Linked DNA regions of Lytechinus pictus. The protein of the gene in region 3 purifies or fractionates together with the protein of the main gene of each other region. This does not show direct contact. Links are inferred from orthologs where the notes say so. Each region holds a gene or a part of one and is shown on either strand. Other genes may lie near its edges.

Region 1 (7,921 bases), about 7.1 Mb from region 3:
CTGCTTTGTTTACCAACTCCTGGCTTAAGATCTGCACATCTGGGCAATATAATATGAGTGCCTCAGCCAATGTCGATTTTGTAAGATTTCTGTCTCAAATATTTCAAAAATATAAAGTGAAAACCTCTTCAATTAAAATTGGAAACAAAGCCCCAAACGCAATCCGTAGGCAGGTCCTAAAAATGTAGCTTCTTTAATATTGAAGACTAGAAATCCCGGGGGTCACTCTCCACATGGCCTGCTACGCACCCACGTCCAGAAAAAAAGTGTAGAAAAGGGTCCCATTTCAGGCACTCAGGCGTCGTCGACGTCTTTGGAAAAAAGGGTTGCATTTCAGCACCATTCGCTGGTAAATCGCCGTTTAGGGTAGCATTTTCTCTCTCTCTTCACGCCATTTAGGGTTGCTAATTTGGTTATGAAGATGACGCCATTGAGGGGTGCAAATATGAAAAGCTCTACGCCGTTTAGGGTTGCAAATTTGAGAAGATTTGGGAGCAGACCTAAGCCATAAACAGTATGAAGGGTGTGATTTTAAGGGAGACAACATAATCCTCGCACACGCTGGCCAGCGCATCACTTATGAGAGAATACCTCCGTACCTCCGGCTCTATACCATAGGCAGCACGCCTATAGGTTTAGGCCTTTAGTCAATACCATTTTGTTTGATTCATACCGGGGATTCCTATGATTTGTTTTTTAATCATTATTAAAAAAAAGATATATAGAGGTTTAATTAATGTATGTATTTTTCAACACATTAACTGGTATGGATTCCATTTTTTTCTTCAAGTTTTGATGAAATTGGTAAAATGAATGGTTTAAGTGAAGCATCAGTCAGTCAAGGCAACAACATTTTTCACTTGCATTCATTAATTTAGGCTAAAAGATGGCTATTCAAAGTGAAGAGAGGTGTCATTGAGAGTAAATTATGCTGGCCTTACTTGCAATAATAAAAAAAATGCCGGGAACTTATACCTGTTGTATGTAACATTCATTTAACATCAGTAATCAGTTTGGTATCAAATTAATATGTTTACGGCACTTAGGGTATCGAATTAGGGGCTTTTCCCTGTTAACGCCACTTAGGGTGGCTTTTCTCATTGGTTACGCCATTTAGGGTTGCAAATTGAGTAAATGAGTAAATGTAGTTACGCCGTTAAGGGTACATTTCTGAGGCTGTCGGACATGGGTGGGTAGCGGTCTATGTGAAGAGTGACCCCCCCCCCCCCCTGTGCTAGAAATATGCTGCATATTTTAAGGAGCTGTGTGCAGATCAAATCACCACTTTTGATTTAATTATATCTGCTCTCAACATTAATCACATTTCATGTTTTTGGTATTTGACTATTTGTAAAGGATAATTCTTTCATGCCATATGTTTGAATCTATTCAAGAACTCTTGTGTATGTGAAACTATGAATCCATAACATGCTATTAAATAATGATTTTCATCAAACAAAAGTTGCTGTTTCTCCACTTTGTTTAGTTTAAGGCAAGCCTGGATTATTTTCAAATCATGATGAAACTGAAGACCTACTAGCTTTATAATGATATAACATGTAGGTTTCAAAAGAAGTTTTCCTTTATCAGGTTAAGTACATGTGCAATAAGATTGATTTAGTGATAAGTGATACATTCTTAACGAAAGAGAGTCTCATGATTCTTATGATGAAATGGAGTTTAATTGTCCAGGGCAAGTCCAAGAAAGGGTCCCCCTTGAAGACAAAATTTCATCTCTTTTTTTTAAGAAGTAAACTTTGGTGAGATAAGAAAGCCCAATGTTGAATTGCATAATTTCATAATTTTAGGGAACCACTCGTAAATTTGTGCATGCACACTAGTACATGTGAATGGACTCAACCAAAGGCAAAGGAGGTGGAAATAAGGGACCAGTCCATTTGCCAATGTGTGTTACTTTTTAATAAAGCCTGAAGCGCTGCCGTTTGAAGTGAACGGTGCGGTGGTAACCTATTCCAAGATAATGCCCGTATCAAAGTAGGCGTTGAAACACCCTCTTTAATGTCGCATTTGCATTCTACAGGGGTGTGAGTGGTCACAAATAAAAAGATCTGAAAAAGCTGAAGAGTGTTGAAAAAGTCTGAAATTGAAAGAGCTCCCATACTTTTTGTACAGAGGAAGGCCAAAAATAAGCTGAAAATCAAAACAAAAAAATCTGAACTCTCACACCCCTGATTCTAAATAAGGCCTGGGGCTAATTGCACTAAAACATACCTGCCAACCTTTGATAATAAAAAATCAGTATCAAAGTACGAGGGCGGCGAGCGGGTGTCCGGCCCTCTCCAACAGTAGGGACTCTGCATTTTCATCATGTAAAAGTAGCATTTCCCTACACTTTTTAAAGCAAATTTACCCTCATTACCACACCAGGGGATGACCTACATGTAGTCTACCTTCATTTATCAATTAAAAATAAACAAAAAGGTCTTTAAAATATCACTTTTGTGACAAAAAAACCACCCAGTTTCATTCAGGTGTGATTTGTTTTCATTTAAATCTATATATAGACTAAATTTTTCTTGTTCACCAGAGCTCTCAAAAAACTTTTATTTTGAGCATATATTTGTGAGGCCCTCTATTGGTGGAAAGTGAGATTGATGCAGATCTTCATCTCCACAGATTCTCCTTTTATTTAGACAAAAAATAATTTCTATTGAGTTTTGGGCCAAGGCATATTTTCTTTTTATGAATTCAGATATAAGTTATCCCTACTGTATTAAAAACTAACGTGCCAAAAAATCAAACATTTATTATCCAGCCCATCTATTAATCACGCAAAATAAGCCAAACATCGACAATCTTATTCATGTAACATAGTGAGTAGGCATAAAAAGCTTGACCCCACTAGTATTCTTTTTCATTGTACAAACCTTTTTAATTTACTATTTTAATTTCATTGATCAAAGATATACTTTAATTAACTATTTATTGCAGGGAACCCATACTAACAAGCTTTGCTTTCCAGTGGGTTCCCTTTTTTCATTTCTGTATATTATATTTGTTGTGTTTTGCTATACATTGTAACTTTTGTTAAATTTTGGAATGAAAAATAAATGCAATCAATCATGTTATTTCACCACACAGGGGTTACTGGCTCGAACCCTCGCGCATGCGATTTTTTGAAATCAGCAGCGAATTATTTATACGTGTGAGGAACTTCATGTTGACTCTAAATCACCAATTTTGAGACTGATAGAAGCATGGAAAAGTGAAACTTTTTGTAAAGTAAGAATATTAGTTTTAATTGTTTTTAAAGATCGTGATGTTGCATGAATTTTATATTCCCCCCCCCCCATAAAATCCCACCTTTGTCACTCGAAATATCAGATCGAGTTCATGGTCTCGAAGTTCGGGTAGGTGGAGCGTAGTGTAGCGGTAGTGAAGTGGAGCCTGCACGAACTTCGCTAGAGGTACTGATGGGGAGGGAGTTGAAGTCATTTTCGTCGGTATTTGGGGACTTTTCTCTACCGGTATTCACCCATACAGTATACACAGACCATGGTATTGGTACCTATACCAGGACGCGACACTACCGCTGGTCCGACGGTCCCAGACGGGTAAAAATCGCTGTCGGGCCAGTAGATTTTCAGAAATAGCAAGATTTATTGGTCCGTCATGACCAGTAAAAAATATCATTGTTGGGTCAGTAATTATTTCAAAAATAGCAAGATTTATGGGACCAGTAATACAAACCATTGTTGGGCCAGTAACTTTTCCAGAAATGGTCAAATTCACTGGTCCAACATAAACATAATTCCATGACTCACATTGCAAACCATTTTCCTCCCGTTAATTTCTGTTATTCACACACAGAATACACACAGAATCGCATGTAATTTTTACTTGGGTATTACATACAGTGTACATGAAGCCAGCCACACAGCCCACATGGTAAATTTTCTACTGGCTGCACGAACGAAGCTTTGCTAACCTCTGGCAGAAATCTCTCACCGAACTGTCAAAATTCACTCATGAAAAGCTCTTATAATGTCCATATTTCCTAAAAATTGGGGTAACTGTCATTTGTAAGCAGTAAAAGGAGAAATTTTCACTTGTTTTGAGTTCAAATAGATCGGGCTTCGAGTGATATCGTCTGAATACATGGTAGCCCCATATATGCATTTGTGTGTGTTGATACACTTGGTTTTTGACTTTCTTTCGTAGCTATATTTCAATTGAGCCAAAAAGAAACTGACAATTTATTTTCAGTTTTCTTTCTTTTCATTCTTTGTTTCTTCCCTCTCTTCTTTCATTTTTTTTGTTACTGTCTTTCTTTTTTAATTTCCCTTATTTGTTCTTTCATTCCTTCACAAAAATATTTTTCTCTACTTCTTTTTCTCTTTTTTTTAAATTTCTTTCTTTAATTCTTGAGTCCATCCATCCTATATTTATCTCTTCTTTCTTTCTTTCCTTCTTTTTACCCTTTCTTTCCTTCATTCTATGTTACTTTCTTCCTTCCATCCATCATTTCTTCACCCTTTCTTGTTTTTTATTTCTTCCTTCTTTCAGCCCTTTCTCTTTCATTCATTCCTTCCTTTCTTTGTTCGTTCAATCTATCATTTTACCTTTTCTTTCTTTTTACTGCTTGCTTCCTTTCTCTTTCTTTCATTCCTTCCTTTCTTTGTCTTTCTTTTTTTTCTTCCTTTCATCCATTCTTTTTTTATATTGCTTGCTTCCTTCATTCTTTTTTTCCTTCTTTATCTATCATTTTACCTTTTCTTTCTCTTTCTTCAGTAGAGGCGCACGGCCAATATTGGAGACTGTCTCTATTGTGGGAGATTATCTCCAATAACATTTTAACAGAGACTTTTGTAAAGAATTTGGGTATCCAATTTCCTTTGTTTACATTTGCTGCAAAAGGATTACCTTGGCGGCAAATAAAAATGTGATAAGCAGATTCCTCATGAAAAATTACCCCTTTTCACCGTCTACTTTTGTTTTGATAAGGAATTTTGTTGTCAATCACACACAAAACAAATGGGCTTATGACCTCAGTGAGACAAAATTTTGTCCTTTTGCAAAGCAAGTCTCCAATGTGGGAGATTGTCTCCCCTATTGGAGAGTCTCCCATATTGGCCGTGCGCCTCTACTGTTCTTTTTTCCTTCTTTCCATCTCATTTTAGTTTTTACCCTTTCTTTTTAATTGCTTCTTCTTTCTTTCCTTCACTACTTTCTGTCTTTTGTTCTTAAGCTTTCTTTCTTTATTATGTTTCATTTCTTTCCTTCATTCCTTTCTAATTTTTGTTCTTCCTTTCCTTCTTTAGATCTTTTTTTCCTTCCTTCACATCTATACTTTCTTTATTCTTCCTTTCTTTTATTCTTTTTGTCTTTCATTCCTTCACTTTTTTTTTTTTTTTTTGGGGGGGGGATAACAAGGACAGCAAAACAAACTCGAGCCTTTTAAAAATGTTTTCTTTATTTTTTGGGACCCTGGGGCCTGTTGCATGACGAGATGAGCGTTACGTAGGAACGTCCTAGGACCATTCTTCCGAGATAGGAAGATTGGCGACAAATCAGCGCTTTCCGTTTCACGAAGGCAATTTTGTCTTTCAAGTCCGCGACATCATTTGATATCGATAGTATCGGAAAAATATTTAGTCTTCATCGTCACCTGAACCTTTTATTTCGGAATGACGACTTTTCATAAAATCATATATTTCAATAAAAGGGGATCAAATAATGTTTTATTTATTACTGATTGTAGAATTGATGTATGGAGCGTACTTTATGAGGTAAAAAGAGAACAAGTGGAATGCCTCTGGCCATCTCACCTGCATCACGCGATTCAATATAGCAGCAGTGCTGATTTTGAAAACTACTATAACTCGCACAAGATGTTCAGTGATACTTGGTTACTCGTATTTCCACGTTTTATGAACTAGACCAATACACTTATAGAGATATGATGGCAATTCAACAAATACCCCAATTTGGCCAAAGTTCATTGACCCTAAATGACCTTTGACCTTGATCATGTGACCTGAAACTTGCACAGGATGTTCAGTAATACTTGATTACTATTATGTCCAAGTTTTATGAACTAGACCAACACACTTTCAAATTTATGGCTGTAATTCAACAAATACCCCAATTTGGCCAAAGTTCATTGACCCTAAATGACCTTTGACCTTGATCATGTGACCTGAAACTTGCACAGGATGTTCAGTAATACTTGATTACTATTATGTCCAAGTTTCATGAATCAGATCCATAAACTTTCAAAGTTATGATGGTAATTCAACAGATACCCCCAATTCGGCCAAAGTTCATTGACCCTAAATGACCTTTGACCTTGGTCATGTGACGTGAAACTCATGCAGGATGTTCAATGATACTTGATTAACCTTATGTATAAGTTTCATGAACTAGGTCCATATATTTTCTAAGTTATGATGACATTTCAAAAACTTAACCTTAGGTTAAGATTTTGATGTTGATTCCCCCAACATGGTCTAAGTTCATTGACCCTAAATGACCTTTGACCTTGGTCATGTGACATGAAACTCAGGCAGGATGTTCAGTAATACTTGATTAACCTTATGGCCAAGTTTCATGAACTAGGTCCATATACTTTCTAAGTTATGCTGTCATTTCAAAAACTTAACCTCAGGTTAAGATTTGGTGTTGACGCCGCCGCCGCCGTCGCCGCCGGAAAAGCGGCGCCTATAGTCTCACTCTGCTATGCAGGTGAGACAAAAAACTTTCAAGATTCACAAACATAACTGGATAAAATCGAAATTTTCATTATTTCACTTATTTAGAACACGGTGTCCTTTTAGAGACACCTTTCATTGATATTTCAACGAAAGAGACCCTTGTCCGACATAAAAATTGATTTAACTCTTTGCCCGCCACGTACACTATCCCCTCTGCGCCACATTAATTTTGGGGTGCCACATTCAGAGGGGGTTTGCGTGCACTGTCTTATTCAACTCACAATAACTTTTTACTGGTTTGTTGTATTGAAAAAAATTGTGTAGCAAAGTTTTAGAGAAATTAATACTCTTGCCAATGGTATCATTTTTGCTATGTATAAAATCATAAATGTTGAGAATTTTAACTTTACATTCTGTTTCCAATTTTTCGTTTAGGAGGGTATTTTATACCTCTTATATTCAATACTTCCTAATGAAGGTTAAATTTCTAAGTTAGTCCATTGAAAAGATGTGTTCTTTAGCTTTCATTACATACCAAATCCATGTCTTTATGGTCATTATGAGCTAAGCAGTTTAGGATTGAAATGGGGCATTCAAAAAGAGTAAACTGACAATGAACTAAACTCTTCTATTGAAATTGTCCCTGGCTACTTCTCAATAGACTTCCCGTCCTATTGATCCCCTTATTGTTATAGGGAGGTGGCAATTTGTATCATTCTTTTATTACAAGAAAAGCAGTGCAAGCTATTGAAAGCTCATCGAAATATATCCTAAAGCAGTTCAAAAAACTCTATTTTACGCGAATAATCTCAATGTAAACAATGTCGGCGAAAGCTATAACACGAAAGCTAGATTCGTAAACAATGCAATACACGCGTCGCTATTGTATTTGTGTGCACACAATTACAATTAAATGCGTTCCGTATGCATTGTGTGCGAACTGTGACTTGAGTCGTCGTTGGCAGTCCGCTGTATGTGCAGCGAGTCGTCCGTGGCGGGCAAAGAGTTAACTAAGTAATTTCGACATTTTATTAGTTCAATATACTGATTTATTATAGAAAACATATATATATAATGATGATTTTGCAAATTATGCGTTAATATGTTATCTGTTGAGGTAAAAATAGGGTTTGAATGGAGTAAACAAAATCAACAGTGTCTGATTGTATGAGACTAAAAAGGAAAATATGAGAGGCTGCGTGTGAAAAATCTAATTTATTTATTTTATTTGTCAGATATAACGCAAG
Region 2 (8,068 bases), on a different chromosome or scaffold from region 3:
TGTGAAATAAAAAATAATTTTGCAAGCACGCCATTAAAAAAAAAAGTTATCTGGAAAGAAATATAGCAAAAATCTGCGACACAGAAGCAAACTTGGGAAAAAGTCATATTTTGATAGAACGCCATGCTTACTTTCTTATACATGTACAAATAAGCACTAATTTCATTACATACTAACAGAATTAATTTTGTAATCATTAACACAACTGGAATTTATTTGTAATCTACAGTCACCATACAGATCAAGAGATCAAAATGACTTGTCAATACGTAAGTAAAATACCCCAATCTTTTAATCATCAATATTTTCAATAAGTAAGATATTACCTTGTACGCATCCATGACTCTTAGATACAGAACTCCATCTATCCTTAGTGTCACATTATCTTTATATAAAATAAAAGGGAAATAAATAAAATAGGATTAAGTGTTCGCTTTTTGAATAGCTATCAACGTTTCGCCCAGTTAATGATAAAAATCAGAAGTTCAATTATACACACTTTTTAAGTAGATTGTAAATTTGTTACAACTCCATGCAACTATAATCTTCAAGAACTCTTGTCTTGTTATTCTTATTTTGAAATCTTTGATCCTGAAAACATATATATCCAACCAAGTTGCCAATTATTGTATGATATAGTAAGATAAAACAATAAGTCTTACCATGAGTCACTGCACTTTGCTCTGGAATGTCAATAGCAATTTCTTTCAAACTCTGAACATACTTGATCTTGTCAAGCACTGGAATCAGTAGATTCAATCCCTGCAAAGAAAAACATTCTTAAAATGATTTCTTGTAAATAAATGTTGCCAGTGAACCATTCAGCAGCCAATAAATCACAATGGGAATTGCAGTTCAAAATATAGAGCTTGGGCCAAAAGTTTTAATAAAAAAAATTGATGTACTTCACTGATCAATCTATCACCTGACCAAACCCTTAGTGTCATCAGCAATGTGTTCTTGATTTAAAATAGCATTCTTTTTTAAATTTCACAATAGAATTATCCCAGGATATGAAGTACATACACATCTAACAACTTACTATAAAAATGTGTGCATAACTCCATAAGCTAATGCCTTAAAAACTTGTTTCTTCTCCTCTTCCTCTTACTCCTCCCATCAGCATATCCTCCTCTTCCCCTTCCCATTTCTCCACCTCTCTCAAACACCCAACTTCCTCCTTCTCTTTCGTTTTCTTCTTTTCCCGCCTCTCCTTGCATTATCTTCTCCTACCTAGCCAGGAGGCTTCTAGAGAGTAAAAATCATTTACTAACGTATGCTTACTCTCCACAAAGCCAGGAATTCCTACCTATTCATCTGCACGCACCAACCAAAAACCTGAAACTTTCGCCCCTAAGATTTCTACTTTCCTTCTAAAAGATCTAGCCCTAAATCATGTACATGGGATACAACTTCATTTCCGACATTTCTACGCTATCAATTTAATTTTTAAACAAGAATTCATCATGCGTCCGTCACGTTGGGGAAGAACAATAGGAAACAAGATGGCGGCGTAAACATCGGGCAAGTCTCTTCCGTCTTTTCGTATTTTTCTCATTTTTTTATGAATTCTTGTTTAAAAATTAAAGCGTAGAAATGTCGGAAATGAAGTTGTATCCCATGAACATGATTTAGGGCTAGATCTTTTAGAAGTAGAAATCTCGGGGGCGAAAGTTTCAGGTTTTTGGTTGGTGCGTGCAGATGAATAGGAAGGAATTCCTGGCTTCGTAAAGAGTAAGCATACATTAGTAAATGATTTTTACTCTCTAGACTAGAAGCCTCCTGGCTACTCCCACCCCCTCTCAATGTAATTATTTGGATACTAATACAAATAGGCAACAATAACTCACAGGTTGAAGAGTTTTGTAGAACCTGCCCATCCTCTCCACTACCCATGCTTCCTGCTGAGGTACAAACAGGATAACTGTGTTCACTGCACCACTTGAAACGCACCTTGCATGTTGGGTAATCACACACTGCTGAAGTCTCTGTCAATGAAAAAATTAATGTTAAGATTCAAATTTTCCACTTATGCCTAAGACATGTAAGACATAAAAATTTACACAGATTAATCTCATCTCTCACTAGAATTTAGAAATGAGGAATTAACTGAAATTAGAAATCCAACGTCAAGAATATCAAGTGACAACTTTTTTTCTCTTCAAATTTAATTGTCTTTAAAGATTTAACGTTACTTATAATTACAAAACATTCATCATGTTCATAAAATGATACGGGCCCTAGGCTAAAGGACAAAACCTGATGCAAGCATTAGCCATTGGGTTTGAAATTTGAGTCATTTTAGAATTAGTAGAGGTCTAACTTTTTACCGGTATTCACAGTTTACTTTAAGTTTAAGTTTCACCGAGCTAGTAAAAATTCTAAAATTGCGATTGTAAAATAAAAATTTGCGATGAAAATCATGAACCTCGCAAATAACTGTAAACTTTGCCAAAAACATTGCGGCAAAACAAAAGTTTGAAACAAAAATCGTGAAATTTACTACTATTTGCAAAGCTTGCAATGAAAATCGCGCACGGGGCGAGAGCCGATAGCTATAGTATACCCAGTTGTTGTGTGTCCGGACAGGTTGTGTGTCCGGACGATCAATTTTAGAAAGTCATTTGGAAAAAATTACAAGCGAAGTTTCATCAAATTTTAGTAAAAAAATTTAGAAAATATTATAGAGAACAAAATAGAAGATGATTACAACTATTGAATTCATATTTTTAGTGTAATCTTAAGACAAAAAAGAAGGCTTCAAAAATATAAAGTGTCCGGACACCCGATCCCCCATCCTATAGGAGTAGAGCTGTTTAGCAGCTACATGTAGCTAGCACTGGCCATCGCCACTAGCCTCAACGCCCCGGCTGCGCTGGGCGCTTGAACGGCACCCGGCCCAGCTCAGCAGGCAGATGACACAACACACGCTCGCTCCACAAGTCCACAACCATCGCTCAGGATTCATAAAAAATTGCAGTAATTTTACATTACCTGTGAAGTTCGTTGAAGAGCCCCGGTCCTCCTTATCATTGTCGTTATAGGTAACATCTTGAAATTGATATTTATGCAAGGATATTCACTTTGTCTTTAATAATAATATGATGAAATCTCAAAAATTCTTAATCTTACACAATACAAGACATAGTACATGCATGCCCATTCAATCATGTACGGTATGGTGGTTGTAATTGTACTAATGAGAAAGAAAATTTGACTTTGGTTTGATCCATTGGAATTAAATTTGCCAATCTTTTATCAATATTTTCATGAATACTGAACTCACCCTGAAGAAACTTACGCCAAAGGGCAATTTTATTTTTAGGTCGCTTTTCATGTTGCTGATTTCAGATTTTAAGGATATTGGCTAGTTTTTGAGATAATGACCTTCACGAAGTATGGACACACGCGAAGTTTGGTCTTTGGACTCACTGCCATACAGCTTTTTGCAAGATAGCATATTTCAGTAATAATAATGCGACATTTGCTCATGTGACAATTGACTTGTTAATTCTGTTAAAACTGGCTTTGGTCTTTGGACATGTTGGATTAATGCACTCATTCAATGACCTGGATATGGGTACGTTAGATCTACTAGTACTAGTTCGTTTTACGGAGGATGTTCAAATGCAATCACCTTTATTTTGTACTTGTAGTGACCACCTTTTTTTCTTTTTCTTTTTCTTTTAATTGCTTGTCAAATTTAAACTTCCGGTAGCACCTCCTCTAAAAAATCGTTCCCAGGAATGCAGATATTTTGATGGGGGGGGGGGGGGGAGTGGGCATGAAGAGTCACCAACAATGATTGAAGGTTATGTCATGTCTTTTCTTTCCTAAACAATTAACATTTGAAGTAAAAAAAAAAAGGCTTCTTTTTCATAACTTTCAAGTTTCAAATTTAAATTCAATTTGTAATCTTTGATTTCCAGTTTGCTCCAATTTTTATCTCACTTATTTCATACCCCTTTCATAAACCCAATAAAACCCAATTATGCTGCTAATAGCAGCATAATTTGGTCGTAAAATCCGAGGAGGACAAGAGTTATCCGCATTATTCTGATGCTGCTATTATCCGCATAATAGCGGCATCGGGACAAGATTTTGAGTTTATGAACATATTTCCAAATAATGCGGATAATTGCCATGGTGCGGTCACAAGGTCACCCTTTTCCAACACAACCGCATCGGAGGGCGCGTGTCCAGTTGTCATGACGATTATCCGCCTTTTTCAGGACGGGCGCTCGTAAAAATAATGCGGATAATTTTCGGAGTTTGTGAACGCAATTTTTATTGAATTATCCGCATTACTCTTAGGCGGCTAATTGATGGAGGATAGGTTTTATTGGGTTTATGAAAGGGGTATAAGATAAAACTTATGACTAAAACCAGTTTGGTTACAGTACTTGAAGTGACTTAATTCTTCCAGTTACATTTTACATTACAAGAAGTTTGAAAAGGAAATGAAAGTTATTCTACTGTATTAAGGGTTCTGGAGTCTAGATCTAAGAAATGAACTTAAATTGCTTGCACATTATTATGAGGAGGAGGGAAGGTTATTGAATTAAACTGATTCAAATCAGGTGAAAACAATTGCAGCAATTAAGATGGAGATTTCATTTGGATTCTGGTCCTGGTTCATTTTTACTTTAAATGTTACTTGTTGCAATATTCCTAAATTGCAACTTCTTGGAAATGAAGTCATTCATAACAAATATATTTTGTTAGCATGAATAATATTTCAATAAATTGCCAAATTTTTTGTGTAAAAAAAACATTGGTTCAAAATATTATAGAGTTGAAGACCATATTTACCTGTGTGATATCATTCACACTAACTAGTATGACATTTGGTATAAATAATGAACTTTCTCCCGTGATGATAGAAATCCTAATTTGAAAAAAAAATACTGGTAATTATCTGTATTCTCAAGACTCAATTATCTACAGCTATGTGGTCTATTATTGAATTGAATAATGGTAGAAAGACTGCCAGGGGCATTCCACCTGTTGCTATTTATTATCTCTCTTTTCCCAGTCACATAGATCAAATATGGAAGGGAGATGGGAAGAACAGGATGACACTGAAGATGAAGCACTCAATGAGGAAGATGACATTGATTGGAGGATGCCGTCAGATATTGGTTCACCCAGCACCAAAGCCTCTTCTTTGAAAACACAATTGTCATCTTTAACTGGTAATTAATCAACAGTAGCTTTTAAAGTACTACTTCCTAGTCATCAGATTTCATTTTTTCCTTAGGTATGGTTTTCAAATAAATAGAATTAGAAAATGTATTATCAAGTTGACCTCTTGTTATCACTTTACAAAATTACTATGAGACTATTAAAGTAAACGTATGCTTTAATGGCTCTGGGAGCAAAATTTCTGTGTTGCTCATATTCATCATGGACAATGAACTATCTTGTATATATTTATGATATTTTTTTTTATTATAGACAGACCAAGACAGTAATACCAAAATGACATTTATGTGTTGAGGTGTTTATAATGTTTTCTCACTTTTTGTAAAGGAGAAAACATTGGACCAAAAATCAGGTCCCCTGTGAGCTCTGCTCTAGAAGATCCATAAAAATAGAGGATTTTTCATAGGATTTAGGTAGCAACTTTCCTGGGAGAGTTGTCCTGTTGAGACTCATTTATATGAAAAGAGTCGATTTGCATAAAGTAGAAGAAAACAACTCTTAGAAAATTTCATCAAAATCGGATGTAAGATAAGAAATTTTACGATTCATTTTTCACTAAACAGTTATATACTCAACATAGTGATATTTATGAGAGAGTAAATGATGTCACCCACTCACTAATTATTATTTTATTATATGAATTATCTAATATTTAAGTTTTTGCAGATTTGACACTGAAGAAACTCTTTATCAAAGTACTTGTAATTTTAGGGGAAAATCAAACTTAGTTACAAAGGAGAAAAAAAGTTAAAATATTCATATTTTATACGATAAAATACAAAAGAAATAGTGAGTGGGTGATGTCATCAATTTCATCATTTGCTTAATGACCAGGATGTGTATATTACCTTTTTTTTAATTAAGCAATTTTTTTTAAATTTCATATCTCTTTTATCTTTAATACTGACATCCAATTTTTATGAAGATTGAGCAGAGGAAGTTTATTTTCTCTTATTATTCAAGTAAACTATTTGTTGAGGTGGACTTTCCCTGTAAATGAGCACTCTATAGATATAAGTTATTATTATTTCATTATTCATAATAATAATTGATGACTAGTATGCAGGAGTAGAGGTTATATGTACATTGTTGTAAAGACTCTACCAGGTGGGTGTTTCATAAAGCTGTTCGTAAGATACGAATGACTTTACGCACGACTGGTAACCCCTTCTTGTGCTAAATGATACATCCCTATGTCATTCATGTAGGACATAAGAACATGTTCCAGTCGTGCGTAAAGTTTTGAGTAACTTTACGAACAGCTTTATGAAACACCCACCTGGTAAAATTTCCCAATAGATGGTCATAGAAATGAGCCTTGTCTACAGTCCAAACTTGGTCATTCCAGGACGATTGTTCACATTGATCTAGATTGTTTCTACGCCCAAGTAGAGATGCTTCGGAATCCAGCACTGAGAGATAAACCATTAGGTATGTACATACAAAGCTCCAACCCCCATTAGACAACGAATGAAAGAAAGAATGAATGAATGACTGAACAGAATTTATAGATGGATTGCTAGCTCGCTTGATACCATAGATTGATGGACAGACAGCTAGAGGGATGGGGTAAATAAAAATAAAAAATGATTGCATAAAAAAATCAGGGGGAAATCATTCAATTCCAACTGATCTTTTGTGAATTTTGATTTATTAAAAAAAATATTCAGGACTTCAGTTTACTTTATTTGTTTCCCATTTGATGGTAAAATATGGCACATTTTTACAAGTTTTCTCATGTACATGTACTAATAATTGATATTTTTTGCATTTTCTATCTTACTGTTTTGCCTTTTTAATCATACACAGGGATCCAACAAAAAAATATTGTCGTGACCACAAACTATGTTGCTCGAGCCAGAGGGGTTTCTAAGCTTTCCTACATCAAGGATGCTCTCATCAAATGCCCAGACCTTGTCCTTGTTAGCGGTGAAGATCTCACCAACTACAGAGACACATCTACCAAAGTGACTGGTGAGAAGTGAAAAGACATTTCCTCCTCTGTGTCCAAGGAGGGAGAGGTGCAAACAATTGGAAACTGTTGAACAACAAAATAATTACTTTGCATCAGATGTTAGATGTGGCATGATTTAAATATTTGTCTTGGTGTCAGATGTTGGAAGCCTTTGGGCAGTTCAAAAGTCTGCTCTCATGTACAATTCTTTGTACGATCCAGTTTAAACTGTAATACATTGTAGCAAGTTCAGCAGGTCCCAAGAAGTATCATCATGTGTTTCAGTATTTTACCTTGTTCAAAAGCATACAGGGGATGAATATGAATAGTAAGAAGCTAAAAAAAATATCCCAGACCCAGTGGCATAACTATTTTTATTGATATAAAATCTGGCCACTCAAGTTGTGTGTGTAGCAGATGATAACTACACGTACATTCAATTTTAAGCTTTGAGGATTTGCACAATGTTTCTGTATTTTTATTTTTGTAGCATTGCTTGAAAATGTAAATATTTTACTTTGTTCTAAAGCATACAGGGGATGAATAAGAATAGTAAGAAGCTAAAAAAAAAAACAAGCCCAGACCTATTTTTATTCAAATTGATATAAAATCTGGCAACTCAAGTTGTTTGCATTTAATTTAATTTTCAGCTTTGAGGATTTGCAACAATGTTTCTGTATTTTTATATTTGTAGAATTGCTTGAGAAGTTCTGTCCATTGGTTGAAAGACTTGGCTTTGATGAGAACTTCATGGATGTCACCCAGCTTGTAGAGTCACGACTGATATCATCTGACCAGGAGAAACTAGCATATATTGGTCATAGCTATGAGAGTGATGCAAAAATAGGTAATGACAATGGCATGTTGACACAATAAATATGATAGGTTGAAGCTGTTTGTAACTGAGAT
Region 3 (8,119 bases):
AAATTCAATAATGATAATGATAATGATGATGATAGAGAATAATAATAAAGAATGATAGAAATAATAATAATATAATGATACATTAATAATCATAATGATGATAATAGCAATGATAATAAATAATGATAATAATACTGTACCCAAATGTTTTGAATGAGTCTACAGTGATTTAATTTGAAGGGGCACACTTTTTCTGGTGAGACCCCCCCCCCCCCCGAAGTTTGTCTTCTTCTTTCTCGATCATTCCTTGTTGTCACATTGGGAAACTGTCCCCATCCCGTTGCCGACCGAGCACGCTGTAGCATCACAAGTGTAATGTACCGTTAGAGCTATCCCCACTGCGTGCAAAAACAAACTGTGTATCCCATGGTGAGGGGACTGTATCACAGTATAGCTACTGTTGAAACTGTCCCCACTGCCGTGAAAATCAAACTTGATTTCCCGTAGAGTTGGGACTGTATCATGACCAAGCTAATGGTATGTCGACCAAGGCTTCATGGAGAGTAAGCCTACAGTACGTCAGTAAATGACTTTTACTCTCCAGAAGCCTCCAGGCTAGCCTGCACGAACATCACTTGAGTTGAGGTAGCCGAGCCCGACGAAGTCACTCCAGCTCCACTCAGGGGCCCGTTTCTCAACACCTGGACAAGAAGTCATATCTTTATCCACCAACCACGGAGTTAGCTCCAATCTTACTAAACCTGTTTCACGAAAGGCTTCCTAACTAAAATAGCTTGATATCGATACTATCGGTAAAAAGAACAGACGAGACGTAGCCTTAGTCACAAAATAATAAAAAAATAATAATTTTCAAAAGAACAATTACAAAATTGCAAATATTTTGATGAATTGGGAAATACATCTTTTCAAAATAATAGCAGAGGTACATTGTAAATTATACATCATACATACTTATACCATGAAGATTGGAACATTCAATTACTGAAAAAATGAAATTATGAATACATGTAATTCATTTCATGAATAAAAAATCACATGCGGACGTTGAGATGGGTACCCCCGGGATATCAAATTTTGATAGTTTACGAAAGTAAACCATGATAATGGTTTTCTTTGTATAATGATGATTATACAGCTTTTTTTATGATACCATCATCAAAATATATCATACCGAAACATACGATTTGACAAATTCTATGCATAGATATTAGAGATATAATTTATCCAAATGTTATTAGAGGTCTGAAAACGACAAATACGAGTTCAGACTTTTCAGTTATGGATAGCCTGACTTTAACACTGACGTGGTAGAATCTTTATTTCACAATGAATGGTTTTGTGGCGTTTTTAATACCAACAGTTTTTATAGTTTCTTTGTATTATACAATTATCATTGAATACATTATCCCACATTCCCACTTGTTTTGTGATGTAATTTCAAGCTCTATGATTGTTTACGTAAGATTATAATTTTGGCGTTATCCTGGTTTAAAGGGCCTGGCAACTGACAAATCATGGGGAAATTGAATCAATACGAAATCTGCAAAAGGCCAATTGACTTGCATAATATAATCTGTCCGTCATGAGCGCCTGTCGGTCTAATGCGAAAAAATTCGGACAGCACACGAATTTGACCGATGCGAGGGTTATTTACTTCGGGTCGTCGCAGTTCTAGCTTCCAACAATCCCAATTCCTAGACTCATAGCACTTTAGCAGGTCTCTTGATTGCTACATGTAAAGCAAAATGAATAACCTCTGTGGAGTTACATTATTATATGTTTCAAAGTGAAAACATGCAGTTTACTTCTGGTTGGTTAGTCTACTATCATGACTATTGCTCTCCTAAGATTAGACCTCCCAGACACGCCGGCGTCTATTACGTAACACCCCAGGCATGCAGCCGAGCGAAAGACTTGAATCCCTTCTCTGTTTTTTAGATTAGCCTTGATTGATTTCCCCATGATTTGCTTTAAGTCACCACTCCATTCACTGCCATGACTGCCATTCATTTCGTCAGCGGCGGTGACTTCTTTCCTCTCCCATTGACTTTGTACACACACGAGAAGAGAAGTGACTTATTTCAGGATAAGGCCATAATTTTCAAATTTCTAGGCACTTTGTCTACCCACGTGATCGTGATGTCATTAAGTCTAACTCTAACTTAAGTCAAGAAAGAAGTTGACACTGACACTGTGACAGGTTCGGAGATGTCATAAAATCTTACTCTATCTTAGTGAGGTTGTTGTTGTACCCGATCTTGGCAAAGAGGGCTTTGTGAAACGGTTAGCGGACAAATAGCTCACTATCTCCGATTTTAATAGTCAAGAAGTTAGACTTATGACGGTGTTGTCGAGAAACGGGCCCCAGCTCACGTCAGAGTCACCATGTCCATGACTCCATGACCATGCAATGTATGCTCACTGACTCACACACTACACAGTAACACAATTCGCAACCAAGCGAGACTCAACATGTTCACACTCACTCAAAACATAATCTCATCATAGATTTCCTCACCATTATATAAGGCCGAATTTGCAATGCCTCCTACAACTGCAACACCAATACCAATACTTCCTAGCCTGGAGAAAAGTTGATTCAAACCTGCTGCCATTTTGTTCCCTCGTCTGTGTTGCGAGTGCGACGAGTCGTAGTTCGTACTACGTCTACGGTACGGTACTGTGTAGATTTCGCAAGAAAACTGTCTAAATAGCGAATGATCAATTCCTGTAATCTTTAAGCGACTAAAAATGGTGAAATATATATTTTACTGATATGCAATCGTCACAAAAAGAACTATTTAAGATCAAGATAGGTGGAATTTGATCTCAAAATCCGTCTCTGTAATTAAAACCAGTGCAGTCACGTCCAGCACAGAATTGCATCACATTTATGTATATGCACGTGTGTATCATATCACTGTACAGCTGTGTGTGCATATTGTATAACGAGGCCTATGAACGAGGCACGTACAACGAGCTCGCATACTATACGGTACGGTAGTCTTAAATATGTAGGGAAAATGATAGATTTGATTTTCTTTTCATATCGTATCATTTTTTAAATACACGTATTTGTGCACTGCAGTCTCATTTAATTTATTTCAGCCAATTTCCATATAGGCCCTACCTCCAAATATGAAATGATTCCAAAATCACACTGTACAGTAAGCCACAGTACTTCCAATACATCCAAAATCGTACCTATTACAATTCAAGCAATATGGTCATATTGCATGGAAGTAGAAAAACAAGAAAGATCAAATCGAAATGGAAGATATTGGACAAAAAAAAAAAAGAAAGATAAGGCGCTTTAAAGGGATGGTCCGGGCTGAAAATATTTATATCTTTGTCATAGAGTAGAATTCACTGAGCAAAATTCCGAAAATTTCATCAAAATCGCATAACAAATAATAAAGTTAGATTGAAGTTTAAAGTTTAGCAATATTTTGTGAAAACAGTTGTCATGAATATTCATTAGATACGCTGATGATGTCACATCCCCACTTTCCGTTTTCTTATATGTCATTACATATAAAATCATAATTTTTTTTCATTATTTCATACTTGTGTAGATAATATGTCTACCTTGTAATGAAATAAGTTGCAGCAATAAATATTTAATGCACGAAATCAGTTGTCAATCCAATTTTTTAGTTCTTGGAGGAAAATTTTTGAATAAACCTAATTTCATATTATACAAAAGAACAAGTTGGGATGTGACATCATCAGCCCACCTAATGAATATTCATGACGACTGTTTTTACAAAATATTGCTAAACTTTAAAATTCAATAACTTTGTTATTTGTTATCCGATTTTGATGAATTTTTCGGCCGCTTTTTGCTCAGTGAATTATATACTCTATTTATTAAGCTATAAATACTTTCAGCCCGGACTATCCCTTATGAGATGGTGATGATAATGAGATTGATCAGAATTTGGACAGGCCAATATTAGGCAGCGGCCCAACGCAACGCGGGGTCAAACTTATTTAGGGTATTTGTTTTTTTTTCCAAATAAAGCTTTTTTTTTTAAGAAGAAAGAGTTCAAAAGAAAGGGAAAACAAAAACTGGACTGCAGACTGTCGGAAAAATCATAACTGTCGGGCACACGGCCGGGCTGTTCCAACTGATTCGGTTTTTTATTTCCACCATCTTTGTCGGTAAATGTCAATTAAACTGTACACTTATCGGTAAATTGTGATTTTTACGCAATGCGACTTTTAGAGCTCTCTGTACCGATAGTGAGGACGGACTTCGCGCTCGCATAATTTATTAAGGAAGATATACCCATCCTACTCATAATTAAGTGCACAAAATTAATATATCGTTTTTAGGTTAAGATTTTCAAAAAAAAATTCGGCTCGCGCTTCGCGCTCGCAATTATAATGTTTATATTATTTTAGTGTAAATTGTTAGGCACGTGTCAGTGAAAGTGAAGACTCTTTTGGGGGTGGGGCTTGTCAAAATTTTTGTAAACAAAAATGTCCCCCTTGAAAATCCTGGATCTGCCCCTGGGTTGGATATAAATTGAGTTTTCAGTCTAATCAAAGTCATTTAACACTATTTTTCAGGTCATTAAAACCTCTGAAATGTCCCATACGTAACGCGCGAGAATTCTTGGACTTGCCCATTTCCACACTGTAAAAAATGAAGTGCTAATTTTGCACTTACAGTGTATAGTGACTGCACTACGAGTGCCGATTTTGTAGTTCAAATTTAAAGGACAAGTCCACCCCAACAAAAAGTTGATTTGAAAAAAAGGAGAAAAATCCAACAAGCAAAACACTGAAAATTTCATCAAAATCGGATGTAAAATAAGAAAGTTATGACAATTTAAAGTTTCGCTTAATTTCACAAAACAGTTATATGCACATCCTGGTCGGTATGCAAATTGGCATACTGATGATGTCACCCACTCACTATTTATTATGTATTTTATTATATGAAATATGAAATATTCTAATTTTCTCCTCCTTGTCAAGTGCAACAAAGTTTTATTTCTCCCTGAACATGTGGAATTACCATTATTTTAACAGTTTATGGTGAAGTTAAGTTGGTCCGTATTGTCAAATCTGTAAAAATTGAAATATTGTATTATTCAAACAATAAAAAACAAAAGAAATAGTGAGTGATGTACATCATTGACTCTCTCATTTGCATATTGCTGAGTTGTGCATTTCACTGTTTTGTGAAAAATAAGCGAAACTTAAAAATGTCATAACTTTCTTATTTTACGACCGATTTCGATGAAATTTGCAGCGTTATGTTTGTTTGATTTTTCTCTATCGATTCAAATCAACAATTTTCTGGGGTGGATTTGACCTTTAAGCTAGAAAATCAGCACTCGTAGTGCAGTCACTATACAAGCACTGTAAGTGCTAAATTAGCACATCATTTTTTACAGTGCATCTCCTCATTATTGCCGTGCTCAGTTTCTCCAGTCATTGAGAAATGTCTTACCATACATTATTCTTTTTCCTTCGTCATGATTTTTTTTTTTTTTTTTTTTTTTTTTTTTTTTTTTTTTTTGGGGGGGGGGGAAAGAAGCCCCACCCCGATCTGTACACCACTATAGAGGTGGATATCCATCTCGACGGTACAAACATAATTATTACAAAGTAGAAAATTAGACCCGAGGAACGATTTGTGAAATACGTGTGTGTGTGCAGGGGCCGCGGAACGGTTTTCAAAGTGGGGGGGGGGGGGGCTGACCATGCAAAAAATCACAATCATATGGTAATTTTTACGTTTTTGTACACGGTTTTGGAAAAAAGTGGGGGGGGGCTGAAGCCCCCCCCCCCCCCCGCTTCCGCGGCCCCTGGTGTGTGAGAGGGGAGGGGGGTTGGTATTAATTGATTTTGGATGAAATACTTAAATAAAAAAACATGTTGAAAAGAATGTAGGCCTATACATATAACAATTCTATGGTTATTTACGTTTAAGACGTTTACAATAAAACGGAAATGATCAGCAGGAGCTCCCAGCGCCCCCAAGTTTCCGCGGCTGACAATGTGGTACTAAGCATTTTTTTCTTTGCATCAGGAATGATCCATGCATTCTCCCAGTCCATGCATGATCATTGGTAAGCATAATAACCAGTGGCGGCGCCAGACCACGATAGGCTTATGTTGATAGGGGGTAGTGGGTACCGTCATTTATTTTGTTTTCCTCAATAAAACGATAGCTAGGTATTCTATATATTTTCGTTCGTAATCACACCCCCCTCGTTTTTACCGTTCTTATCATTCTCTATATTTCACCCACTCCTCCCCTGCAGATTTCCTCATCTCTTCCAATATCCTATCATAAACTGAGCCCCCCCCCCCCCCATTTCTCTCTCTGTATCTCTCCTCTGCTCATGGCCAGACACATTGCCTCCCATCTCCTTCAACCTTTTTGCCGATTGAAACCTATTATATCACCCACGCAGATCTTTGGGACATGCCGTATATAACCACCAGAGGCGGCGCCATCACGATGGGCATATTTTGATAAAAGGAGGGCGTAAAAGGTGCCGGGTACTGTCTTGAACTTTGTATTCATCAATAATTATACGGATATTTTATATACTCTTTCGTTCTTTATTTTTTCCTCGTTTCTCATGTTCTTAACTCCACCCCATTTCTCTCTCGATCTGTATTCTTCATCTGCTCATTATTGGGCATACACATTTTTTTTCTTTTTGCCCTATCCATATCACTTCCAATTCCCTCGCTCTTCTCTTTGAACCTCATTTTTGCCGATTGAAAACCATATCGCAAGTAATAATAGAGCCTACCCTTTTTACCAACTCTTTTTCTTCTTGGGGACTTACAAGTTGGTGTGTTCTGTGAATAGATTTATAAATTTTTCATGGATTGTAGAGTAGGTTCACATTACGAAAATTCTGAGTAACAGTAAGACTTTTTGATGCCTTACAGTAACAGCGGGACTTTTAGATGAAACCACTAAGCTCAGGCTAACAGTGAACGTCTTTTTGCTTAACTTGTTGCTTTTGGTTTCAACAATATCAGTCTTATAAACTTGAATGTAGATTTGATTTCTCAAATTGGTTTTGTGTCTTTCAAATGCAATACTCCAGACATTACAAGCAAGACATCACGATGAACTTGAAAACATATATACGCAAATTCGGGTTTTATGTATCTTCGACGAATACTTGAAAAAATATACCATTTGCGACCTATTGGGGTTATATTAATTTCAAAACGTAATAGGTCTTGCTTGTAAGTCGATCTCTCAATTTCAAAGCACCCACTACATTTAAAACCTCACTACTTTAATGAAAGAAACGTACAAACCATTGTAATTATAGCATATTTTATAGCGAATGTTGTCAACGTTCAAATAATATAATCTCGAGGTAGTAAAAGAAAATCCTGAAAGAATAAGATGCACGGGGCACCCGTAAGTGATAATGCAATTTAAGTTCTTTGAAATGCCTTAATTGCCCCATTTTTTATAAGTGTAATTTATTTTCAATATAAAAACAAATGTACATTATGTTACAAAAATGATATACACAAATACACAAATGAAATCCGCTTGGAGCAAATTTGCTGAAGAGATGACAATCTGCAGATAAAGAGAATACAAAGAGAAGAGAAAAAATATTTTAAGCCATGTTTATAATACATGAAGATATTTATTGTTTGTATCCTATGCCTAGCCTGAATGAAAATTTTCACGACTAATGAAACGGAACATGTCAACGGCACGAGTCTATATTACATGGAATCATATAGTAACTAAAGGAAATGAAACCTTTAATTGGAACAAGTGGGTTTGTGTGAAAACAGAAAATTCAAAGAATATGATCAAAGGTTTGAGAAAAATCGGAGAAACATTGAGAAAATTACGATCACTAATATTATGGAGATCCTCCGTTAGTAATGCGACAAAGATGTGTGAGGTCACATGTGAACAACCTTCCCTTTGAAGGTTTTTCAAAATATTCAAATATTCTGTCCGGCAAATTGTCGGATCTTACAACTTTCCTCGATTTTGATTGGCTGAGAACTTGTCGGAAACGTCTATGTCCTTTTATGGAACGCTCCCCAGGTCTGTTTCAGATTCTAATTAAACACACTCGTATGATCACTCACCTTCCTAACGGAAAGAAAATGGTCTTGACCTAGCACGTACAGTTCCCCA
Region 4 (7,839 bases), on a different chromosome or scaffold from region 3:
TCCTTTGTAGGGGACCAGGAGGAGGAAAACTCCAGCGGGTCGGAGGAGCTGGCCAGCCACCGGCCCCCACCGCCAGAGGCCAAATAGAGGGTTCCAAGCTAGCAAGCAGCTCAGAGGGGCCATCCGTAGGCTCATCTGAAGGAATAACAGAGGGCGTGTCGGAGCGCCTGATAGTCCCAGGGAATAATGTAACCGGAATAGCTACTTATGTAGAGGCTGCGGCGGGGGATCCAGTTGGTCCCTCGAACACCCGAATATCAGACCTGGGTGAAGCCATTCTGGAATCAGTTCCAGATGCTCTCCCAGGGCTTGGGTGTGCAAGCGAGATTGAAGAGGTAGTGGTATGTAGGTTGGAGTCGCGCTCTACTCTCAAGGTCTCAGTTGTTATAGGGGGGCAGCCAGTAAGCGCAGTTGTCGATACCGCAGCCGAGGTGTCCATCATCTCGGATAGGCTCCTGCAGTCACTGGACCCCCAGCCCCCTAAACTGAGAGGAGTGATCCTACATGCAGCGGGACGGGATATGAAGATGAGAGGGACAATTGTCGGTCCCCTTTCCATAGAGCTTGGGAACCAGACATTCTCGGAGGAAGTATATGTAGCCCCTATAGCTGATCATATGCTCCTGGGATTAGATTTCCTCAGCAAGCGCAAGGCTGCGATTCACCTCCTAGATCCGCATATGCAGTTGGGAGGTCAGAGGATTCCACTTTGGTATAGTGATGACCCTGGGCGGCAGATTGCCCGGGTTCATTTGCACAAGCGGGTAATTGTTCCTCCGAATGCAGTCAAGCGGATCACCGGCATTATAGACCAACGTTTAGAGGATTTCATGTTTAACCCTTAGGATGGCTTACTGCTCCTAGTTCCCGGTTCGGTTTACAGGGCTGGGAAAACAGAACCCATCTGATAGGCACCTTAAGGTAACCTGCTCTGAGGTGTTGGGGGAAACTGAAAAATTGAAGGGAAGGGAGACGGGATCGCTCCCTGTTGAAAAATGGGTTCACCTGGATCGCGGTTCCTCTACCGAATTACAGGCAAGCAGCCGTACTATTGGGGCTAATGGTTCAGCTTGTAGGTGGAGCCAGTCCAGTACAAGTCGGTCAGGGTGAGGCCAGTGGGCGTTACCGATGGGCAGCTGCCCATCGACCCGTTACGGGTGGAACAGGAGAAGGATCCTACCCTGGGTTCACTAGCGAGGTGGGAGAGCTTGTCACCTCAGCCTGGCGGATAAGGTTTCTCACCCTCATGGAGCGAGCTAGGATTAACCATCTGGCACTCTATGGGGTGTAGTGAGGAAAAAAGGGACTGGAGGAGATCTGTCCTCCATTTGTCACGAAGGGATTTCGATTCCCTTTGCATTTTTGGGTTAGCTTAGCGCGTTTAGGACCCTATATGTTTTTCTGTACGGGAGGGACCAGCCGAGTCGCCTCCTCTTTGTGTCTGTTGTGTTCGTTGTTTTCGTCTATCTTTTTTGTATATTTAGGCCATGTAGGAAATGCTTCATGGTCCGCTTTGGAGGGGAGTGTTTTAAATGGCCCTTTTCGCATAATGGCAGCGCTGACGCCCCCTTCCTGCACCTGGGGGACCTAGGTTGGGTACTGGTGCTCCAGTCTCTCAACCGAACGGGAATGCTATGTGTTGCACAGCCCGGGTAAGATGGTGCCTCGACAGGGGAGGGCCAGCGGCAGCCCACTGCTATGGGAAAGTGGAGCTTTCTGGGAAGGGGGGACCCTCCTGGGATATGGGTTTTTGTATGGGTTTTATATTTTTATATATATATACCATTGTTCTATATGTTTTGTATGGGTTTTTTAAAGAACCTCAAAACTCTAGGTTTTTAGGTGTTATTACGGGTTTTTACCGTTTTCATGTTACGGGTTTTTAAAGTTTAAAGTGTTGAACAAGTTTTTAGCACAGTTGTGCCAAGTGTTTTGGATAGTTTTGGAGTTTTTATTTATAAAAGAACGGAATATGTTTATGGCTGATTACGGGTAGCAAATTATAATTAATTTTGGGAATGCAGACTTGGGACAGAACAATGCTGCATAAGTACTTTTTGCCAAATTTTAAGGAGCATTGTGTACATAAAAGACCAAAGGGAATTTTTAAATGGGCTTGTATTTACTCATGCCCAGCCGGGAGATAAGGTCTCCTGGTTGGGGTGCCTAGGGAGTGGAGAATTTTTTCCTCCCTCTGCCTGGTGTCTGGTTTGGATAGCGTCCATTTGGGTTGGAAACTCGAGGGACCGAGTTTTATAGAACGGGGGGGACTGTTGTAGTAAGTCACCCCACCCCCCATATAGGTCTTCCACCGGGAGATGGCGCTGGACCCCTTTTAGACGCTGGAGGACGTTGGATCCCTTGGATCATTGTATTTGAAGCTGAACTCACACGGAATAGACAGGAACTAGGACATCACTCCAGGAAAATACTGGTTAGTGACTTATTCCTTATATTCTAGCTTCAGGTATCAACCTAGTGGTCAAGCTGGGGGCGCGACCGCTACATATACTTGAAACTGTCCCCACCGCCGTGAAAATCAAGCTTGATTCCCCGTTGAGTGGGGACTGTATCACGAGTATATAATAAATTAATAGGGAGAGAACCCAAGTGTTTATATACACTACAGTGTGTGTTTCATTTGTGTGTGTAATATCATTTTGCTACAGTCTTAGTTTTACAGAGCTGTCCGAGAGTTGGGGACTGTGTTCTGGAGAAGGGAAGTGATTTTCATGCGTTCTGGTGGTAGGTGTGATTCTAATAATCCCCACTTTTGGATTTGGGGACTATATCACGATTATGCCAACCAACATACAGCAAGATTTCATTCATCAACATGGCAACTTCGATTTCTCAAGACCAAGTCTGTCTGGCATGATCACGTCATGACAAGCACAAACTGACAAACAAATTAAATTCCACATCCATTTCTTACACATGGGACTACACACAAAAAGATGATCGACTACACTCGACTTAAGATTTGATTAAAACGCACGATTCCTAGAATAGAATCTACAAAATTGGTTTATGTACAGGTATATACAAATGATGATGTTTTCAATGCCATTTTCAGCTACACTCATACACAAATTCATATTAAAAGGGGTGTGTTCTCACCTTCACGCCGGCGCCGGTAATCGGTAATGAACGCCGTATCGTATCGTCACATGCAAAAAACATCGCATAAAATTATCGCGTGGAGCACGCTGACTGGTCAAATTTTGTGTGCGTTAATTCCAATGTGTAGAAATGAGAGACAATATTCCGATGGTTCATTTGCGTTGCCAATATGTTACTTGGACTACTGATGGCAATTTTAAATGGGTTAAATTCTGTTTTATAGTTTTAAAAGTATAATTTTGATATTTGAAACTGGCAGACGTTTAATCTATATATTTTAAATGCGCTGCTACTTTTTATCTGGCATAATTGTACATTAAAAAAAAAAGAAGAAATGGGTGGGGGAGGGGCACAAAAATCTAAACCTAGCCTTAGACCGGGGCCTTAGACCAATGAGATGGGCATCACTCATCATAGTGGTGGATTAATCCACCTCTATGGCATCACTTAACTTGGCAGTCAATACTCCCGAGGGGGGGGGGGTACTTACATTTGGTTTGGACGGGGGTGTGCGACTGAAGGCTCAAAACCCATACCCATGATATTTACGGGTCATTTTGGCTAAAAAGGTACCCATTTATATTACGGATTTATTACAGAGGCGGATCCAAGATTTTCAAAGGGGGGGGGGGCACGATTTTCCCTGGAAAATTTGACAAGCAAGCAACAACAAAAAAAAGGTTATCACCCATTTCGTGCACCTTAGACTTTGGAGTAATATGGACCCATGTTCAAGGCCAGTATCTAAAAATTGGGGCCATGTTTAGGGATTTTCCAGCATAAAACCATACCCCATGTTAGGGACTTCTTTCCAAAAAGCGACACATTCCAGTGGCACATCTCCGTATGCCTTATTTCGTGAATATATATCCCCCCCCGGGTCAATACGTGCATCCAAGCATGGATCCAAGCCTCGATCCAAGGCCATGTGTCCATTGATAATACCTGCAATCATTTAGCCAGTAAATTTGCATAATATGGGTATATAATTTAGTAGATGATCTATATTGGACATCCAAAAAAAAGCGGGAAGATTAAAAAAAAATTCCAGAAATCAGGACGACCCTGATTCCTATGAGCTATATTTTATGCAAGAAGGGAACTTGTACTTCATCACATATAGTGATTATTTGAGCCATAATTGCTTTCTGACAAAGTTCGAGGAAATAAGTCATTTAAGTAGCTTGGAAATTATTCCACCATGCAATCAATCAGTGGAGGCCAGGATTTTCCAAAAAGGGGGTACATTTTCCCGAGGAAAATTCGACAAGTTTCAAGTTTCAAAATTTATTGATCAAAATCCACACATATTAAGTTACAAATCAAATATATATATATATAAATAAATATAAATACTAAATACAGTAAAAATATGGTTAACAATTTTCAAGGAGCCCTAAAACACTTTGCACGATTTTTATATATGTAAATTATACTAAGCTAAAATCACATTTATATAATTACAAGCAAAAAAGGTCCATAGTGAGTTTAAAAGGGGAAGAGGGGCACACTTCGAAAACTCTGCATAAATGAGAACGTGCCTAATTTAAGTCCCCAGGATTATGTCCGGGGTCTTTATTATTTTTGGACCCCCGCTCCCCCCCCCAAAAAAAAAAAAAAAAATCTGGCCTTCCCCCATTCCCACTTTATAAAGTTTCGATATTTTTATCTGTCTCTTTCATATAACATGTGTGGATTTCTTTTATTAATATTTAGTTTGCAAATGCATGCTAACTTAAAACTTCTTGAAATATAATTTTCATTAAATGATAAAAAAAAGATTCACTCTTCAGGGGCTGCAGAACAGTTTTGAAAGTGGAGGGCGGCTGAGCCAAAGGTGGAGGGCGGCTGAGCCAAAAGTGGAGGGCGGCTGAGCCAAGTGGAGGGCGGCTGAGCCAAAAGTGCATGACCATGCAAAAACTCACTATGGGATGGTAATTTTTACATTTTTGTACCCGGGTTTGGAAAAAAAAAACAGGAGGAGCTGAAGCCCCCCAGCCACCCCCTGTTTCGCGGCTCCTGCCGTTTTTAAAATGAAAATTTGAAATTTAAATATTTCTGAGATCATCAAAACGATCGTCATTCTAGCAGTGCGTAGTTTGGGATGCTAACTTTAAAGATGAATTGCAATCGGCTAAAGACCCTGTAATTTTTTTTTATTATGATAATTTGTAATTTAATTTGTAAATCCTGTACAGAATATTTAGTAAATGTTATTTCACAATCGACTTTTAATGATCTTTGAAATAATTTCATTGAATTCTATTGGTACTGGGTCATTATTAAACTACCGGTACTAGTTTTTATTTTATTTTCTTTATCTGAATAAATAATATTTCATAGATTAAGACTATCTATTGGCACCAAAATCAAATGTTGATCAGCTGTGAATGTCGTCGTGTTTACCACTAACCCCAAATCACCGGTCGCAAATTCAAATTTACCAGAACCTGTGCCTTGTGAGATGTCTCGGAAATCTTATCAACATAGAACTGTAAATACCAGTGCCGACTCAATTGAAATTTCTTAGGTTAAGTTAGCTTAGATTTACTGAATACACGCCAATTCGAATGCACACACATGCACAGACATGTCATTAACGAATACGTACGGTACGGTACCTCAGGCTCAGCCTCAGGCGATGTTCGCGCAGGCTCCACTCCACTTCACTACCGCAGCGGCTAGGCGCTACACTACGCTCCACCTACCCGAACATCGGGACAGTGAACTACTTCAACTAGATCGGATATTCCGAGTCATAAGGTGGGATGGCAATCATGGTTATCGTAAAAGTTAAAGAAAAAAAATATAACGAGGGATATGAATGACTTAAATAAATATTCTTACTCTACACCCGTATTTCACTCCGTGTCCATCCTCCGGTTATCCTCAAAATTTGTGATTTTTGGCCAGTATCTTTTTCCTCACATGTACAGTAGACTAGAGGCGCACGGCCAATATTGGGCATAATCGTGATATAGTCCCCAAATCCAAAAATGGGGATTATTAATATTAGAATCACACCTACCAGAACGCAAGAAAATCACTTCCTTTCTCCAGAACACAGTCCCCAACTCTCGCACAGCTCGCGCTCGAGAACTTGCGAAATGATAACACACTTACACTTGGATTCTCTCCCTATATATACTCGTGATACAGTCCCCACTCTACGGGAAATCAAGTTCACTTTGCACGCAGTGGGGATAGCTCCAACAGTATATTATACTCATGATACCGTCCCCTCACAACATAAAATCGTGCTCGTTCGACAAGGCCAAGGGGATGGGGACAGTTTCCCAGTGTAACGTGACAAGGAAGACTCATTCAAAACCTTCGGGAATTATTATTATCATTGTCATTATCATATTATATTATCATTATTATCATTTTATCATTATATTATTATTGTTATTTAATCATAATTATCATTATTGTTATCATTATTATTGTTGTTATTTAATCATTATTATTGCTATTATTATTATATTGTCAATATTATTATTATCATTATTAATATTATTACTATCATCATCATATATAAAACTTGCACAGACATGTCATTAACGAATACCGCCTTTTACCGGGTACGGTACGGTACCTCAGGCTCAGCCTCAGGCGATGTTCGCGCAGGCTCCACTCCACTTCACTACCGCAGCGGCTAGGCGCTACACTACGCTCCACCTACCCGAACATCGGGACAGTGAACTACTTCAACTAGATCGGATATTCCGAGTCATAAGGTGGGATGGCAATCATGGTTATCGTAAAAGTTAAAGAAAAAAAATATAACGAGGGATATGAATGACTTAAATAAATATTCTTACTCTACACCCGTATTTCACTCCGTGTCCATCCTCCGGTTATCCTCAAAATTGGTGATTTTTGGCCAGTATCTTTTTCCTCACATGTACAGTAGACTAGAGGCGCACGGCCAATATTGGGCATAATCGTGATATAGTCCCCAAATCCAAAAATGGGGATTATTAATATTAGAATCACACCTACCAGAACGCAAGAAAATCACTTCCTTTCTCCAGAACACAGTCCCCAACTCTCGCACAGCTCGCGCTCGAGAACTTGCGAAATGATAACACACTTACACTTGGATTCTCTCCCTATATATACTCGTGATACAGTCCCCACTCTACGGGAAATCAAGTTCACTTTGCACGCAGTGGGGATAGCTCCAACAGTATATTATACTCATGATACCGTCCCCTCACAACATAAAATCGTGCTCGTTCGACAAGGCCAAGGGGATGGGGACAGTTTCCCAGTGTAACGTGACAAGGAAGACTCATTCAAAACCTTCGGGAATTATTATTATCATTGTCATTATCATATTATATTATCATTATTATCATTTTATCATTATATTATTATTGTTATTTAATCATAATTATCATTATTGTTATCATTATTATTGTTGTTATTTAATCATTATTATTGCTATTATTATTATATTGTCAATATTATTATTATCATTATTAATATTATTACTATCATCATCATATATCATTATTTTTTATTATTGTTGGTGTTATTATTATTATTATAATAATGATAGTATTATAAATTATTATATTATCATTATTATTATTATTCTTTATCATTGAAAATGTGCCCCTTCCATCCATTCTGTTCCTTGTATTTCATTTAATTCCTTCAAATGAAATCACTGTAGATCGACTCATAATAACGTTTGGGTATTAATTA

What was found. Proteins that work in one complex are often made in the same cells at the same time.
Region 1: the proteins of prohibitin 1-like (region 3) and ER membrane protein complex subunit 2-like purify together in Homo sapiens (affinity purification with mass spectrometry; 3 studies listed by BioGRID and IntAct, with this or other methods). This does not show direct contact. The link is inferred for Lytechinus pictus from reciprocal best matches to the Homo sapiens genes PHB1 and EMC2.
Region 2: the proteins of prohibitin 1-like (region 3) and stomatin-like protein stl-1 purify together in Homo sapiens (affinity purification with western blotting; 3 studies listed by BioGRID, with this or other methods). This does not show direct contact. The link is inferred for Lytechinus pictus from reciprocal best matches to the Homo sapiens genes PHB1 and STOML2.
Region 4: the proteins of prohibitin 1-like (region 3) and calnexin-like purify together in Homo sapiens (affinity purification with mass spectrometry; 3 studies listed by BioGRID and IntAct, with this or other methods). This does not show direct contact. The link is inferred for Lytechinus pictus from reciprocal best matches to the Homo sapiens genes PHB1 and CANX.

Annotation. Positions count from the first base shown.
Region 1 is NC_087245.1:30,467,442-30,475,362, reverse strand, and holds the start of ER membrane protein complex subunit 2-like, read right to left. Parts: upstream 3,181-7,921; coding exon 3,165-3,180; intron 1-3,164. UniProt on the Homo sapiens protein: Part of the endoplasmic reticulum membrane protein complex (EMC) that enables the energy-independent insertion into endoplasmic reticulum membranes of newly synthesized membrane proteins.
Region 2 is NC_087249.1:20,892,497-20,900,564, forward strand, and holds the start of stomatin-like protein stl-1, read right to left. Parts: upstream 3,181-8,068; 5' UTR 3,052-3,180; coding exon 2,995-3,051; exon of another isoform or gene 2,803-2,994; intron 1,989-2,802; coding exon 1,851-1,988; intron 763-1,850; coding exon 663-762; intron 386-662; coding exon 327-385; intron 1-326. Other genes in the region: DNA polymerase iota-like, read left to right, coding at 3,566-3,580, 5,036-5,195, 6,505-6,636, 7,015-7,179, 7,854-8,006. UniProt on the Homo sapiens protein: Mitochondrial protein that probably regulates the biogenesis and the activity of mitochondria.
Region 3 is NC_087245.1:23,409,195-23,417,313, forward strand, and holds the start of prohibitin 1-like, read right to left. Parts: upstream 3,173-8,119; 5' UTR 2,577-3,172; coding exon 2,480-2,576; intron 1-2,479.
Region 4 is NW_026974140.1:13,618,593-13,626,431, forward strand, and holds the start of calnexin-like, read right to left. Parts: upstream 3,181-7,839; 5' UTR 3,121-3,180; intron 1-3,120. Other genes in the region: coiled-coil domain-containing protein 138-like, read left to right, coding at 5,588-5,617. UniProt on the Homo sapiens protein: Calcium-binding protein that interacts with newly synthesized monoglucosylated glycoproteins in the endoplasmic reticulum. It may act in assisting protein assembly and/or in the retention within the ER of unassembled protein subunits.